Linked DNA regions of Lepisosteus oculatus. Each later gene encodes a partner of the first gene's protein in a complex. Links are inferred from orthologs where the notes say so. Each region holds a gene or a part of one and is shown on either strand. Other genes may lie near its edges.

What was found.
Region 2: ercc2 (region 1) and polr2d share a complex: the UniProt entries of both Homo sapiens proteins name them as parts of the TBP-based Pol II pre-initiation complex. The link is inferred for Lepisosteus oculatus from reciprocal best matches to the Homo sapiens genes ERCC2 and POLR2D.

The regions. Positions count from the first base shown.
Region 1 is NC_090698.1:5,271,267-5,279,121, reverse strand, and holds the start of ercc2 (general transcription and DNA repair factor IIH helicase subunit XPD), read left to right. Parts: upstream 1-4,778; 5' UTR 4,779-4,981; coding exon 4,982-4,986; intron 4,987-5,075; coding exon 5,076-5,175; intron 5,176-5,613; coding exon 5,614-5,691; intron 5,692-5,832; coding exon 5,833-5,895; intron 5,896-5,991; coding exon 5,992-6,105; intron 6,106-6,205; coding exon 6,206-6,322; intron 6,323-7,778; coding exon 7,779-7,855. Other genes in the region: cdc42 effector protein 2, read left to right, coding at 1-334. UniProt on the Homo sapiens protein: ATP-dependent 5'-3' DNA helicase. Component of the general transcription and DNA repair factor IIH (TFIIH) core complex, not absolutely essential for minimal transcription in vitro.
Region 2 is NC_090708.1:19,212,833-19,220,797, reverse strand, and holds polr2d (DNA-directed RNA polymerase II subunit RPB4), read right to left. Parts: upstream 3,196-7,965; 5' UTR 2,962-3,195; coding exon 2,883-2,961; intron 2,101-2,882; coding exon 1,920-2,100; intron 1,698-1,919; coding exon 1,602-1,697; intron 863-1,601; coding exon 784-862; 3' UTR 305-783; downstream 1-304. Other genes in the region: ilkap (integrin-linked kinase-associated serine/threonine phosphatase 2C), read left to right, coding at 4,190-4,232, 5,177-5,299, 6,463-6,580, 7,237-7,343. UniProt on the Homo sapiens protein: Core component of RNA polymerase II (Pol II), a DNA-dependent RNA polymerase which synthesizes mRNA precursors and many functional non-coding RNAs using the four ribonucleoside triphosphates as substrates.

The DNA.
Region 1 (7,855 bases):
CCGCGTCGTCTACAGCGACCCCGAGCTCAGCCACTCGGCCTCCATCCCGGCGTTCGGCCGCCTGGTGGCGTCCTCCGGCTCCTTCTCCGAGGCGTCCTCCGAGGACTCGGTGCTGGGGGTCGGCCCGCCCCTGGACGCCAGGCGGGGGCTCAGCCTCGACTCGGACGCGGGCCTGAGCAACGAGGACCTGCAGAGCGAGCGCAGCGAGTCCCCCGGGGTCCCCAACTCCGAGTCCCTGCTGGGGCTGGACCTGGACTTGGGGCCGTCCATCCTGGAGGACGTGCTGAGGATCATGGACCAGTACAAGGCGCAGGACGGGGACTACGAGCTGTGACACCTCACCCTGGCTGCCGATTCCTTTGTCATGGACTTGATGATGAGCTACCTGCGTTACCAATAGTGTAGAAAAAACCTGAAATGCCACCGTAACCCCAGAGGTTTGAGAGGAGCAGGACACAACTAGTGACACAGATTTGATATAACTGAGGGGGGCTTCGAGGCAGATGAGGACACAATTTAAATATGCTGCCATATTCTTGTGCTCGCCAATACACGTCTGCTCCGCAGCTCTGAGAAAACCTCATGGTGGCTTTTTAACGGAACCCAGCCCCACTGTGACGCTCGGATATACTCCTCAATGTTACAAAAACAACTCCTGTGGTGTCAGCCAGCCCTGTGCGTCCGCACTCGCAAAAGCACAAGTGACACCGCGCTGCTGCTCCGTTCTGTGCTGGTGGTGCACCGCGCACACCTGATCACACCACACCACCTTCCGAGCTCCCTGCTTCTCGGCTTCAGCCAGTGAGAGGACGTGGGGCAGGCAGCACATTGAGCCCTGAGAAAGACTCTGCCCTGCTTCAGGTGCTGCCCCTGCTCACGAAATGCAACCTTACTTGTTTCTCCACAGCCAGGGGCTTGAGCGATGAAGGACAGAGAGACACAGAGACTGCGCCTGTGTGGATGAAATTACTGAAAAGACGGAAGGTGGTGGAATCAGGTGATCTTAAACACTTGTCATCTGCTAGGAATCTAAAAGAGATCCTTAAGGCGTGAGCAAGAAGTTCTCAAATGATATTTTCCTTTTCTACAAAACTAACAAAGACGTGAAATGAAAACTGAGCAATGCTACTGAGCTGTATCTAGACCGAAACTTGGAATTATTTTGTGAGTTTATTTTCATGCACATTGGTTTATTCGAATTTCCACCTTCCTTTTCTTTCAGCCTGAAAATGGCAGCAGTCTTTTTACATGAAATACAACCGATTTACTGATGTGAGAATCACGTGTACAAAAAACACCATCTCGTGGGCCTGTGTTTAAAATGTGTGTTAGTCTGTTACTCCTTGACCAGGAAACTGTGACTCCAGAGGCATGGAAAGATGACTCGCACTGCACAGCAGTTTTAATCCATTTCGGGGTGTAAAATCAAATATTGGACACATCCGTTTCAAAGTGTCAATTTATCTGTTGAGTTTCAGACAGATTAAGGTCACAATGAAACATTCTGAGTTTCTCTGTTGTTGGATTGAGTACTACAGCTTTTGCTTTGTAAAACTGGGATGTGGCTCATACTGCGATGCATTGGGAGTCTTTATTCCACCTCTGAAATATATCAAAATGTTCAATCACCTGACCATAACTGGACGATGAATCAACACAGGAAGATGGTGATTATTCTACGCACTCAGAAATCTTGCATGGACATATATACTGAAATCACTATTCAAAATAATTTATAAGGACATTTAGTGCATTTATCTCTTTAGAGGATAAGATGGGAAGTACTGTTTACAAATTCTAAAAGCTGGCATAAATATATATATTTATTTTATTGGAAGACTTTCGATAGTTTTAACAAACCGTTCACCGGTCCAGTTCAACAGTTCAACTGTGGTTGCCGAGCAGTACTACACTTGGCTCGTACGGCCATCTAGTGGAAGGAGAGGGTAGTACACCTGGTAATTGGTCGGTACCAGAAGCGGCCTGGAGAAGCGCAGCTCTCTTGCTTTTCTGAAGGTCACGAAATCGACACATTTAAAACCTGAAACGACCGAATAATCCTAAAAGCTATGCCTTAAAGCGAAGCCGGTTCATTTTCTTCATTTTTTTCTTGGCAGGACTGTGTGTTGAGACTGAGTTTTGCTACTGGGATGTGGTGACAGATGGAAAGAAATGATTTCTGTTGTAATTCTGCATTTTTTTAAATCTCCGTTAATGTTCACAATCTGTTTTGATTTCTGAATGTTTTAAGACGTGTTTCAGGCCCTGCTTGAGTTTAATACATTTTCCATCACTATTCTGGGGATTCTAATAATTGCACAGATCTAAGCACTGGGGGAGAGGTTTGATGTGCTCAGCTCAGTGGGTAATAGCATGATGAAGATGCTGATGATGACGAAGATGAGGTGTGTAAGAGTTCAGCCGGAATGCAGACCAGACGACTGCTTGGAGGAATGTGACTGGATACTGTTGCCTTTCAATGGATTGCTGGGAACTAAAATGAAACTGTCGTCTGGGAAGTAGGTATCTGCTGTGCTGTGGACTGTGCAAGGTAGATGAAGGAGAGGAGAAAGTCCAAATAAATGCGTGGAAAAAAGAAAGAGACAATCAAGGAAAAATGTTTTTTTGAAACGATGATTTTCTGTTCTGGATGGAACATTATTTCGCAGTTTGTGTTACGTTCTGATTGACATGAAGAGGAACACCATGCAAGTGACTGTTGCAGTTATTTATTCTGAAATCTTCAGCTCAAGGCAAGCGGGGCGTCTAAAGTCAGTAACATGTCGCAGCGAACATTTCTCTAGTTTCAGAAGTTGCCCTTCCTCAGCGTGGTGTGACATCTGTCTCTGTAGTACAAAATGACAACCTTTTTTAAAACAAAAAATGTTTCTATATGTATTTAGCCTCGGTATTGAGGTCAATAAATATGAATGTTAAAGCAGACGTCACTCCAAATTTGTATGTTTTTCTTGCTGTTTTTTTTTTTTGGCTTCCACATCTCTTTACCTATGTTCCCTCTTCATCTTTTGAATCAGTGAGATGATCAGATACTGGCTGTGACACAAACCACGTCTCACATTATGAGAAGATACCGCAGCTCTGGTTCAGAAGCACCAACTGTGCAAACACTAGTGAACCATGTGATATCAACAGGAGAAGACTCCTAAGCACCTATGCACCTAACGCCACACCAAGCACAAAAGAGAGCACACACAAACACATCAGGATCTGGTGCAGCTTGGCCTTGTGCATAACCCAGGGTGCAGTACATGCACTTGCCCCCTGTTTTGTCTCCTTATTCAAGCCAGGCCCTCTCGCTATTCCTGGCTCAGCACTGGGAGATGGACACCCAGAAGCCCGCCGTCCAGCGGGTCCAGGAGAGATCGCGGTGTCCTGCCCGTCTGAGTCCGGGGCTGGGAGCGCCTGGCCTCCTTACCTTCTGTACAGCTCCTCCAGCCCTGTTATTGAGCAGATCCACCTCGAGGGTCAAGGCCTGCTCCTACACTCCTCTGGTGCCTGAAATGTGGTTCAGGCTGCCCCTCCCTCCACTCTGCCGTCTCTGTGAAGAACTGGCCCTTTAAACTAAAACAATAGACAGGGTTGATTGCTTTAGGAATGAAACAGACTTCAACTAAAAAAAAATGAACCAAAGAGACGTTTTAGTGTGGCTTGACAGTGACTGGTTTAATAATCTTTTCATATCACTCTGCAACTCACAGCTGGCAGCCCACTGAAGCTCAGCAGGTGTGAGCCTGGTCAGTACCTGGATGGGAGACTCCTGGGAAAAACTAAGGTTGCTGCTGGAAGAGGTGTTAGTGGGGCCAGCAGGGGGCGCTCACCCTGTGGTCTGTGTGGGTCCTAATGTCCCAGTACAGTGACGGGGACACTATACTGTAAAAAGGCGCTGTCCTTCGGATGAGACGTAAAACCGAGGTCCTGACTCTGTGGTCATTAAAAACCCCAGGGCATTACTCGAAAAGAATAGGGGTGTTACCCCGGTGTCCTGGCCAAATTTCCCTCTGGACTTTACCACTCATGGCCTCCTAATAATCCCCATCTCTGAACTGGCTTCATCACTCTCTTCTCCTCCCACTGAGAGCTGGTGTGTGGGGAGAGGACTGGTGCACTATGGCTGCTGTCACATCATCCAGGTGGGGCTGCACACTGGTGGGGGTGGAGGGGATCCCCATTACCTGTAAAGCACTTTGTGTGGAGTGTCCAGAAAAGCACTATTTAAGTGTAAGCAATTATTTTATTTTTTTTCTAAAGAAGAGCTGCAAGCCGTGTTTCAGAAACATGTTGGTGTTAGTAAGCTTTGCAGGGTGTTCCCATACGTTCTCCAAATAAAAAAATGCAGTAATCATTTACACAAAAGTCATATTCCTAATTAAAACCTATAGGCGGATAATTCATAAAGTTTGATTATAAATCTACAAACATCAATAAATTTGTTATTATGATTTTCTAACAAGGTCTATGTTCCTTGTTTTTGTTTTACTTCAAAGTTGATTTGCTCAGTAACTGGATTTTTATAGACGGCTGGAAATTTTTCAGTCCGTGCCAACAGGGAAAGCTAGACTTCTCTGGCCTCGACTATTCAGGTCTAATATTAGCAACAAGACACAACTTTTTATATTGGTATTGATTAGTCAGGTCTAGATTTCGGGGCGCACTAACCAGGGGGCGGGGAAGAAGTGTGATTGACATCGAGATCACCCATTTAGCAACTCCTATTGCGTCTCCTCCAAAGACTAAGTGACCAATCGTGGGCGCGCTAGGAGGGATTACGTCCATCGAGGGGGATAGGTTGGGCAGTGACAGTGGAATCACACGTGAATAAACAGAAAAGCAAGAGCGGAGTTATCAACGTGCTTTTAATTTCTTTAGTATTATCTTTTGTTTATCTCTAGTATTACGATAGGCTTGTCGAGCCTACAACAGCAAGAAGAAAATCGCCCGTCGCCGGACGCAAGCCGTAACAATGAAGTGTGTACTTCTGGAGTCTCTCGCCGCAGCTGAAGGGTCGGGTAACTTGAGAGTCGGGGCGCTAAGTTTTCATCTTCTTGTTTTTGCAGGCTGAATATTGATGGCTTGCTGGTCTACTTCCCCTATGACTATATCTACCCGGAGCAGTACTCCTACATGCTGGAGCTGAAGAGAACCCTCGACGCCAAGGTAAGCTCTCCTTCTGTACCTGCAGCGCGGATGCAAGCGTCGCACCCCGGTCTTTCTCGTCTCTCCGCTGTCTGGTCGCGTCCGGCTGCTTCAGCTTTTGCGTGTTGGGTTGGAGGAGGCGGTGAGGGTGTTGGGAGATCGGCGCTCTGTAATCCCCGCGTCCATCAATCTGGCTCACTCGAACGGTATTTAAAAGTTATTTTCATAAACCGAAACGGACCCGATGGAGTCACAGTCTTTAAAGAAAAAGCAGCAACCGGAATACCTCGCGTCTGTACGTGGAATACACGGCTTCTGTGGGCTTTAGTTAGGATCCGCTGCTCTCTGGCGTGTGAATGTCGAGACTGCCCTTGCAGTGCAGCTGGGATCGGTTTGCTTTGGCGGCCAGGACGGGGGACAGCTGTGTTCATGTTCGTGTTTGACCTCGTGTCTCTGTAGGGCCACGGGGTGCTGGAGATGCCCTCGGGCACCGGCAAGACCATCTCCCTGCTGTCGCTGATCGTCGCCTACCAGCAGGTGAGTGTCTCCCCTCTCCTGGGAGGGCTGTCCTGCTGGGGCCCGATCCCTGGCGGATTGGCTCTTGTGTGCCGCTTGTGTTAACTTTGCTGGTTTGTGGTCGACACGCCTGTGTGTGTGATCCCTCTTCCTGCTCCTCAGACCTATCCCCTGGAGGTCTCCAAGCTGATCTACTGCTCCCGCACTGTGCCTGAGATCGAGAAGGTGAGTCGGAGTGGATTCAGATTTTTTGGAAACGGCCGCCGGGTTTTAAGCTGCGCTTTTCCTCACCCTGTGCCCGGCTCTCCCCCCGTGTCTCAGGTGGTCGAGGAGCTGAGGAAGCTGATGGAGTTCTACGCCAAGGAGACGGGCAGACAGAGCAACTTCCTGGCCTTGGCCCTGTCTTCCCGCAAAAACCTCTGTGTGCACCCTGAGGTCAGGACGCCTGGCCCCTGGCCCCTGCCCCCTGCCGCCTGCCCCCCCTGCCCCCTGCCCGTCCCGCTCCCCTGACTCTCCTCCTCCCTGTCCCGCCCAGGTGAGCTCGCTGCGATTCGGGAAGGAGGTGGATGGGAAGTGCCACAGCCTGACGGCCTCGTACATCCGCGCCCAGCGCCACGGCAACCCCTCCCTGCCTTCCTGCCGCTTCTACGAGGTGAGCGGGCTGGGGGGGGTGCTCAGGCTCAGGTGGGGAGAAGTAGAGAACAGTACTGAGCTGGGGGGGGGGTTATTTTCAACGGGTTTGTTAACAGGAGGAAGTCGAAGATCTCCTGCTCTCACGGGGACGCGGGGCAGAACTACGCGTCTGGGCTACGGCAGCTGGCCTGTCCTGTTCACCCTGCAGGAGTCCAGGGAAGGCGTTTGACGCAGGTGGTGGTTTGTTTTAATGCCTGAAGGCCGCACGCGCCTTGTGGTGGCGACAAATGCCCAAGGAGAGCGAAGCAGCCTCCACAGTTTCTCCACAGTTGGCCACAGAGCCGATTTGTGCAGCAGTTGACAATATCGCAGCAAAGGAACAAGTAAGAGGTTTATTCCATGCTGAAAAAAAGAAGAAGAGAAGAAAGAAAACACAACATTTCGGCCGTGGAGCCTTCTTCAAGTGTGAGCAGCTGACCATGAAGGAAGAGGAAAAGAAAAACTCCAAGTTCTCGGCGTCCATGGCCCAGTGATCGTCCCCGTTCAAGATCTGGGTTTGTGGGACATCAATCATTTAATGTTCCACAAGCCCAGGTTTCCACACACTTAGTGATACACAGAGTTCAGCCATGAGAAAGACAATAACTACTCGCAGCTGCCAGCATTTTGTTATATAGTGCTTTTTTTTTGCATGTAGCGTCTGGATCTGGGCTCTCAGGTGAATAGGAGTGAAAATGATGTAAAATGAGTGCCCAAGCTAAACCTGAAAGTTCAGTACTTATTGCTGCCATGGACTGCTAAAGAATTGCTCAGCCAAATTCTGTGTGGAGATGGTGGTGTACTCTTTAGTTTGATGTTTCATGTCTCAAGGAGAAGACTGAAGGAGGACATTGCACTTGGATGGTGGAGGGCAGGATCCCAGCCTCACAGGGCTGGCTTGGCACTCTCTGGAAGTTCATCCCTGCTGGTGCACGGGGAGATCCGGATCGAAATACGGACAGATATCTGTCCCACTGGGATAGGGATATAGACAGTGTTGGAGGATTCTCCATGCTTGCATTCACCCACTGACCCTAGGAAGCAAAGAGTGCTAGCTGCCAAAGTTCTGAATACCGCTGCATATTGCTGTCGGACAATAACTGTGATTCTGGTAGGGTCAATTCCGGACCTGGAGTGCTATCTGCATGGATTTTGTATGTTCTCCCTGTGTGCGTTTGGGTTTCCTTCAGGCACTCCAGCTTCCTCCCACAGTCCAAAGACATGCTGGATTCATTGGATTCTAGGAACTCTGGCTTTCACCCTTCACCCCCTATTTCCATAAAGTAATGTCCCTGTTCCCAGATCACCCCCATGCTGCTCTCCTGTCCCTGCACTCTGACGGTCCAGGAAGTGACTGAGACTGAAAAGGGGACAGTCGGGTTGAATTAGAACGCAAGAGGGGACTAACTTCCTGCCTCCCTTCTGTGCGTCCTCAGGAGTTTGATGCCCTTGGCCGACAGGTGCCCATTCCCGCGGGCATCTATAACCTGGATGACCTGAAGGCCTTCGGGCG
Region 2 (7,965 bases), on another chromosome or scaffold:
ACAGCAGTATCCTGATATTCATTAGGACTCCCATCTCAGTACTGACCAGGTCCAGCCATGCTGAATTTCTGAGAGCTGATGAAATCAGGATACAGCCCCTACTTTTCAGCAAAATGTCCCTTTCTCCTGTTTCTGATACCTCCATAGCAAATTCTATAGCCTGTTGAGCAATCATTATGTCTCACTGCAGAGACAAACATTGTCTCCATTATTTTTAATGGTACACACTTAAAGCAAAAGACAATGTTTTTAAACTACATCTATTTTCACCTGTCTCAGCAGAAAATCTAAAAAACAAATCAACTGAATGAGGTTTTCTTTATTTGTTAAACATATTTTACCAAAGGAATGAATACGTTCTGCTCAGTGTCTTGTTCTTCTTGTTCTAGCATCAAGTAAAAACTACTGAATATAAACATTTCCATTAAAGTTGTACAAATGCAGATTTTCGGATTGTTCCGATTCCTCTTGTTGGCAATTCAGAGATACCTAAGTGTACAAACCATGACACCCTGGCTGCTCTAGAGGCTGCCTACTGACCTGTAAAAGACTTGGATGGGGTGTTGAGAAGGTTTTTCTCAAAAATAATAAAAACATAATCAGAAAAATAACAGTTTACACAACAAACTTGTAAAAACTAAGTTGTCAGGAGAAGTACATTGTCCTGATTTCTGCCTCTCTGACAAGGAACACCAGTTTTAGCTGCCTCCTTTTATAAAAATGTCAGAGAATGTGGCTTTGTCTGAACAACTGAAGATTTGCCTCGTCGCTCTCCTGTCTCATTCAATACTGGAAGCTTCTCTTGGTCTGAATGTCGTCCAGTATCTGCTGCAGTTCCTCCTCTTCAAATCGGCCCTCCAGACTGCCATTGTGGAGAAACAGAGGAAGAGACGGTAAGAAATCTCTACTCATATTAGAGCTACAGAATAAATCTTCGTGTCTGCTTATCCCACTAGTGTTTTATCCAACCCAGTGCAATGTCTAAAAATCAAACCATAACTAGCCATTTTTAGGAAAGTAGACCCACTCCATAGCAGAGCCTGTTATGTCATCTTCTAGTACTGTTTCCTCAAATCCAATGCCTCTATCTCTACTGAACAATGAACTTTAGGTATTAGTGTTCAATTATGAAGCCAGCAGGTCTTAAGGTCACCCTTAACCAAGTTTATTTAATTTTTGTGGAACAAAAATACATTTTTTACATGAGCCTACTAAAGCACGAGCTCCCTAACTGTGCATATGACCACAATAGTTTCTAAGTCTTTGGAAACTGATTATTTGAATGTCACTCTCAATGAAATACTGGATTATGACTCTCCAAAAACTGGGATCTGTCTAAAGAGAGCAAGAGAGTGCTTAAAACGAACAGCTGTTCTTCCATAATGTATTTCTTTCCCAATAATCCCAATGTAATACTTATGCTGGGTTGTAAAGGAGTCGATTCTATTGCTGTCTTCACAGACTGTGCCTTAGAACCTCTACCGAGCATCGACCTCCAAGAGCCGGGTGTTCAGACAACGGGTCTTGGGAGGAGAAATACGGGGCGGCGCGGCCAGCAGACTCAAACGTGCGACGAGAAGCGGCCGTGGCAGAACACCGACCTTGGAATAAGGGCCTTGGCTTCTTCCGCTGCTTCGGGGCACAGGTTGGCCAGGCTGGCCAGCTCGAACTTGTGGAGCTTCTTCTGCAACAGCAGGCTGCAGCGAGGGAGGAAACAGGACACGATCAGACCACAGCAGCACGTGCACGTGAAGACGGCCCACTGCTAACCCGAGCACTTCCTGGTTCCTCTCCAGAACAGACATGCTTTAGTGTTGTGCATTTGATAAATAAACTTTGATTTGATTCCAATTTGAAAGGCAAAAACGTGACTCTCTAGGGCGGAAAGCCGATCCAGCCAGGGGTGGCCGCGGCCTGACCTGCGCACGCTGGCGATAGTCTCCCTGTTCTTGAAGCGGCTGAAGCGGGCCGTGTAGTTGAGCGTCTTCATGAAGACCTCGGACAGCTCCTGCTCGTCCTCCGCGCTCTCGTTCTGCTGCTTGCGGTGCTCCAGCAGCATGTGCACCTCCGAGTTCAGCAGCGTCTCGGCGTTCTCGAACTCTGCGGGGGGGGAGAGGAGGTGGGCGTGCGTTAGGGACACCAGCAGCAACACTTAAAAAGACGCCGGGTGCGGAGCGGCCCGATCCGTTTCGGGTTTTATCTGGCCCACACTCATATTCCTATATCTGACTGCACAGTAAACACACATGCTGGCAAAAGGAGCCAGGGTCTCTTCTGGGTTTCTTTCCAGCTGAGCTCTGAATCACTAATTGGATAATTTTCCTGATCTCACCTCAGGGACAATTTAACGGCTTATAAAACTCGCAGGACTGTGGCTTTCCAAGACAAGGGTTACAGACCCTTACTGCAGGCCAACTTGTTTTTAGTAAATACTATTTTTTTTTGTCAGTAAGCCTAACTCCGCTTGATCGCTTTTCACTTCTGGTCAGCAAGAATTGCAGCCCTCAGGGGCCAGAATCCATTAGATTTCTTAGTGCTCTTCGTATCCTTAATGTCTTAAATAGGTCTAATTAAGCTTAGTATGATTAGTTCAAGTTTGGTCACTATGCGGAGGCGGAGGACAGCAGCTGTATGCGCACCACCGCTACAGAAGACCGTGTTATTTTATAGTATTCTCTATACCAGCATCAGTGAGGCCATTAAAACTGTTCAGGTCAGAAGATCCAATTTAATATTCTGCGCGGACTATCCCTAACCCTAAAAAATGTTAAGCATAAAAAGTTTTTTTAACTTTAAGACCCATTTCGTGCTTTTCATTTCCCCAGCAGTTCGGTGTTTACACCTCCAAAGAGCACACGAATCCCCGTGGCGGCGGCTGGTACCTTTAGGGAAGAGCAGTTGCGAGGCGTCCTCCTCCACATCTCCGACCTGCGGGGGTCCAGTGCCTCCTCCTGCCGCCATCGTCCGAATCAAGACCCGGGGCAGCCTGAGTAGGCCCCAGCGACCACTTACAAACGGGTATCTGTAAACCAGAAATTATCTAAACAAATTGGCAGCGAAATTCAGAAAGGTTGCGTACGGAGATATGCTCAGAATGCAGACAACTGTAGCGCTGTAATTATCCCGGTACACTCAACAGCACGCATCGCCATGCCTGTCATGAACACCTAAACACAAAACAAAAGTATGATGGGTGAACTCATTGGGGCTTCACAAGACAGCGCCCCTGTCGGTTGGAGGTCTCACCAAGAGGCGGCATGGGCTGCAAAAGGTAATATTCCAATTCAAAGAGCTTTATTGGCATATCCGATGAATTACGGTGTTGCCAAGGCAGATGCAATTAATGCAACGCTACATACATTTATATAATACAGACATCACATAAAACATTAATGTGAGACAGTATCACCCTGTTTTGTTGTTATTGCTGCACGTTTTTGCGGGGAGGGGGTATTCTGTTGCTCATGACTCTCTTGTTGTGAACTGTAATTTTTAATCTATTCTTCGCCCCCTGGATAGTACAAGAAGTATGTGTTTTTTTATCGTCCATTGGCTGAATGTAAATCAGCGGTCAGTCTTTTTTTTAAATTCAAATTTGAAAAGAGCTTTATTGGCTTGACCGATGACTTACAATGCTGCCAAAGCACAGAAATAATTACCCAACATTTACAGTACTCACATAAATGTCCAATAATAACATATTTCATACATTACTAGAATTTAAAAACGAGGGGGAAAATATTACTGCGTTGGCCGGGAATCGAACCCGGGTCAACTGCTTGGAAGGCAGCTATGCTCACCACTATACCACCAACGCTTGTTATCAGATGGTGGTAACTATAGGTTAAAACAGTGCTGGCGCGGCCTTGGCGCTGTATGTCCAGGCCTACAGCGACACCCAGCTGCAACGCTCTCGGAAGCGATACTGGGCCCGAGCGGAGGGAAACCGTTTCGCTTTGATCGGAGCAAAAATACTGAAACCCTCGTCATATGCGGATCCGGATCTCGCTGTGATTTTGAGTTTTCCTTGGTGAATTGTGGTTTGGGTTCTCACTAGGTGACACGAGAGTTTCTTTTCTGAAAAGGGGCAGAGGAGCGTTTCAGCTTTCCCAAAGCCTCAGGGGCTCAAGAAAAATAGCAGCCGCTTTTGTGTTGAGGGACCGAGCCCATAGCTCGTCTGTAAGACGGGATGGATTTGTTTGGAGACCTTCCCGAACCCACACAAACTACAGGTAAAGGATATCTGTCATTTGTATTTTATTTTTAAAACATACTTTGTATTTTAGGCTGTGTAGGAGACAGGGCACTTTGGTAGTAACTGGATTTATATAAGTAAAACTAATAAGCTTTTAAAATTCATAGTACCACCCTTTTCGTCGTTGATGAAAGTATTTTGATATGGAAAGAGTTGAAGATAATTCAAAATGCTGTTTTCACTACTAAAACCGCTCTAAAGGACGACAGGCCTGAAAGTGAAACTCGTGAGCGCAAATCCCCGACCTGGCGTGAAGGCTGTAACCGTAGATCTGAGCATGTTCCTCGGCTAAAGAAACCAGTGATCTGCAGTATGTGAATTTGACGAAGATAAACTTTATTTTATGACTTATGCGAGGTTTGACACTTCATGACTATAGTATATGTAGTTTTTATGGTTTAAGAAGTAAAGAATGAAATAGTGTATGCAACGTTGTGATTTGGTAGCAAAAGCACATCGACCGAATTCCCTGTCAAGACTGATTCTTTGTGTTAGATCGTTTACTTTGTACTTTATAAAGGGGATTAGGTAATTGTGAATTTGGTATTTAAAAACGGTACAACGGACGCCGAAACATTCAGCACATTCAGCTGCATTTTCACGGATAAAGAGCATTTGGACTGCCTAACGTCGATTTAAACGATTGGACTAGGAGAATTAATTGGAAGTGGTGAAACCAGTACATGTATTACTAGAAAAACATGTATCTTTATGTAGTTTTAAAGGCCATTGTTTGAAAGCAGTTGAGCTCAGTGATGGGAAATTCTGCAGACAAACTGTGGTATAAGGTCATAGATGTGTGGAAATATACATAATAGTCTGCACAATTACAATATATATAAATATGATGCCTGGTACATGATCAGAATCCCTGATTTGTTGGGTCCCTTCAATAAAAATCCCTCCTTTTTATTCTTTTAGCAGCAGACACAGGTTCTTCCAAAGACTCCAAGACTGAGGAAAAGCCCAAGACAGAGAAGAGGAAACTAGACACTGAAAGCAACGGCACAGAGCAACAGCTGGAGGAAAAGAAAGTTTGTAAAGGTTTTCAGCCATGTCCACACCCCTGTTCCTCACCTGGGGCTGGGGGGTGGGGGGTCTGGTGCTCTGGCTGCCTTCCTTGATTGCACACAGCATAGTCTTCGTTATAGACGTTAGCAGCAAAGTGTTGATGGCCAGCCACTTCTACTGTACCTTCCCTCCACAAAACAAGTTCTGGTGTTCTTGGAATATAGTGCATTAACCTTTCTTCCACGGATCGGAGGTACAGAACTTTAATAGCACACAATAATTTCGATTTTCCTAACACAGAATGTAGTTTTATTATGATGTTTTCATCCGTCTTTTCATAGAAGGATGACACTTTAGCACAGTGGTTAGCATGCAGCTTCACAGCTCTGGGGCCCTGGGTTCAGTTACTGGGGTGCTATCTGCGTGGAGTTTGTATGTTCTCTCCAGTTTCTGGTTTCCTCCCACGGTCCAAAGACATGCTAGTAGGTTAATTGTCTCCTGGGAAAGTCGGCACTGGTGTGAGTGTGTGTGCGTCTGTGTCTGAGTGTGCCCTGCGATGGACTGGTGTCCTGTCCAGGGCGTAACCTACTGTCCGCCTGCTTCTTGCCTTCTTTAAAACTCTAAACCTTTTTTTAAGACATACTCTTAGAACCAAGTAATAACAGTCAGGGATTGATAGGGATATAGATTGAACACTAGGACGATGTGTTTTGGAATGTCCCTGCTTGTTGTTTACTCTGATTAATTTCCACCTTTGAATTAATGATATCTAGTAAAGCATTTTAAAATATGAATGGAGAGATTATAAGAAAAAAGCTATTAGATCCACAGTGATAAACTATTTTTTTAGCATAGTTTAACAGAATACGATATAGGATAGAGTGATGTATATCTGTTCTAAAGCTTGTGACAGCAAAGACTTTGGTGCAAATATCAGCTCCCAGGATCAATACAACCCAAAGCTACTGTGGGCTGGAGGGTTTAGACAGACAAGATGAGCAGACAGTGCAAAAGAGTGAAGTGCAAACAACAAACAACAAGCTCGTACCATTGAGTTGTGAAGAAGGGGTAATGTTATGGGGAGTGTGGATGTAAATCTGTGATCTGTCTTTTTTTACAGTGGCCACAAGGGGATTTAGGATAACAGCAGGAGTTTGACAGCCAGCGTGCCTTTGTGTGTGTGCTGTCTGTTCCAGGAATCCCCAGACTGAAGGGCTATGTGGCGGCACGGAAGGGAGAGAGGGAGGAGATGCAGGACGCCCACGTTATTCTGCCCGACTTTTCGTCTCGGGTGTCTTCGCTGCCGTCCCAAATGTGAGTGACCTTCCCAGCAGCTCACTTGATCCCACTGCCACACGGCTGACTTTAGGACATCTCGCAGACTTTGGATGCTTTGAATCATGAAAGGTTTTCAGGAGTATTTTGGGCTGAAAACTTCATTTTACTTCAGGAGTTCAGGCACATCGGTCCCTCCTCTTAATGGCTTCATCCAATTCAGGGTAGTGGGGGAGCTGGAGCCTATCCTGGCAAGGAACGGGCACATAAGGCAGGGTACACCCTGGACAGATCACCAGTTCATCACAGGGCACACACATACACACACCAGGGACAGTTTTTCCAGTAGCCAGTTAACTTACCAGAATGTTTTTGGACTTTGGGAGGAAGCCGGAGGAAACCCATACAAGCACGAGAAGAACACACAAACTCCACAGAGGTAGCACGTTGGTTCTGGGATTGACCCCAGGATTCCAGCGCTGCCACTGTTCCACCATATCACCCTAAGCTCAGACACATCAAAAATCGAAACAAGGCAAAGGGCAAAACCTTGCCTTTGGTTTTGCTCTAAATGTGCATCACATGGGGAAAAAAGGAGCTGCCAGGTTAGCATAGTGCCCAGGGAGTGCTAAATCTCAATTCATTGGGATGTTTTTGGCGAATCTTTTTTTGAGGTTTTCTTCCGTTTATCCTAGATCACACTTGGCATACTTTGCAGTCTTCGATGGGCATGGTGGAAGCCGGGCATCTAGGTACGCTGCCCAAAATCTCCATCTCAACCTAGCCCTCAAGTTCCCCAAAGGTATGCAGCCCTCTTTCTTTTAGTCTGTTACTACTCATATTCACTTGCCATTTTACACCAGTTTTTACACCCCAAAGTGAAACTCGGCCTAAGTAAGACCTGCAGGACTTCAGAGAGAATGACAGGGTGGGACTCGTATTGCAACGGCAAAATATTAGAGAATAGTGTTGGGGTTTCCCAAAGTTGTATACAGCCCAAACAAATGTTTGAACACTTGACAAAATGCACACAAGAGTAATACACTGCAGGATCAGCTGGCAGCTGTGATGTATGTACTTGCATAGTCTCAGGTCTGAAGCAGTGGGACCAGATCTCATGGTCTCGTGCTTTGGAGTAAAAATCTCACACAGTCATGGCCGGCATGTCCTTGGTGAACAAAGCAGTCGACTAGGTTGACAGATTTGAGGAGAAAATAATTAAGCTTCAAAAAATGTAAAGATTTTACAAATCCAAATAAAATAACCAATCTCATTATTTCAATTGATGTGTGTATAGAGAGGGAATATGTATTATAAATTACCAGGAATGTCATGAAATTAATTATAAATATGATAAATATTCTTGCAAAATCATAAGAAATGAATTTTGCACCTTGCTCTTCGTCACTGTGCTCTGCAAGGGC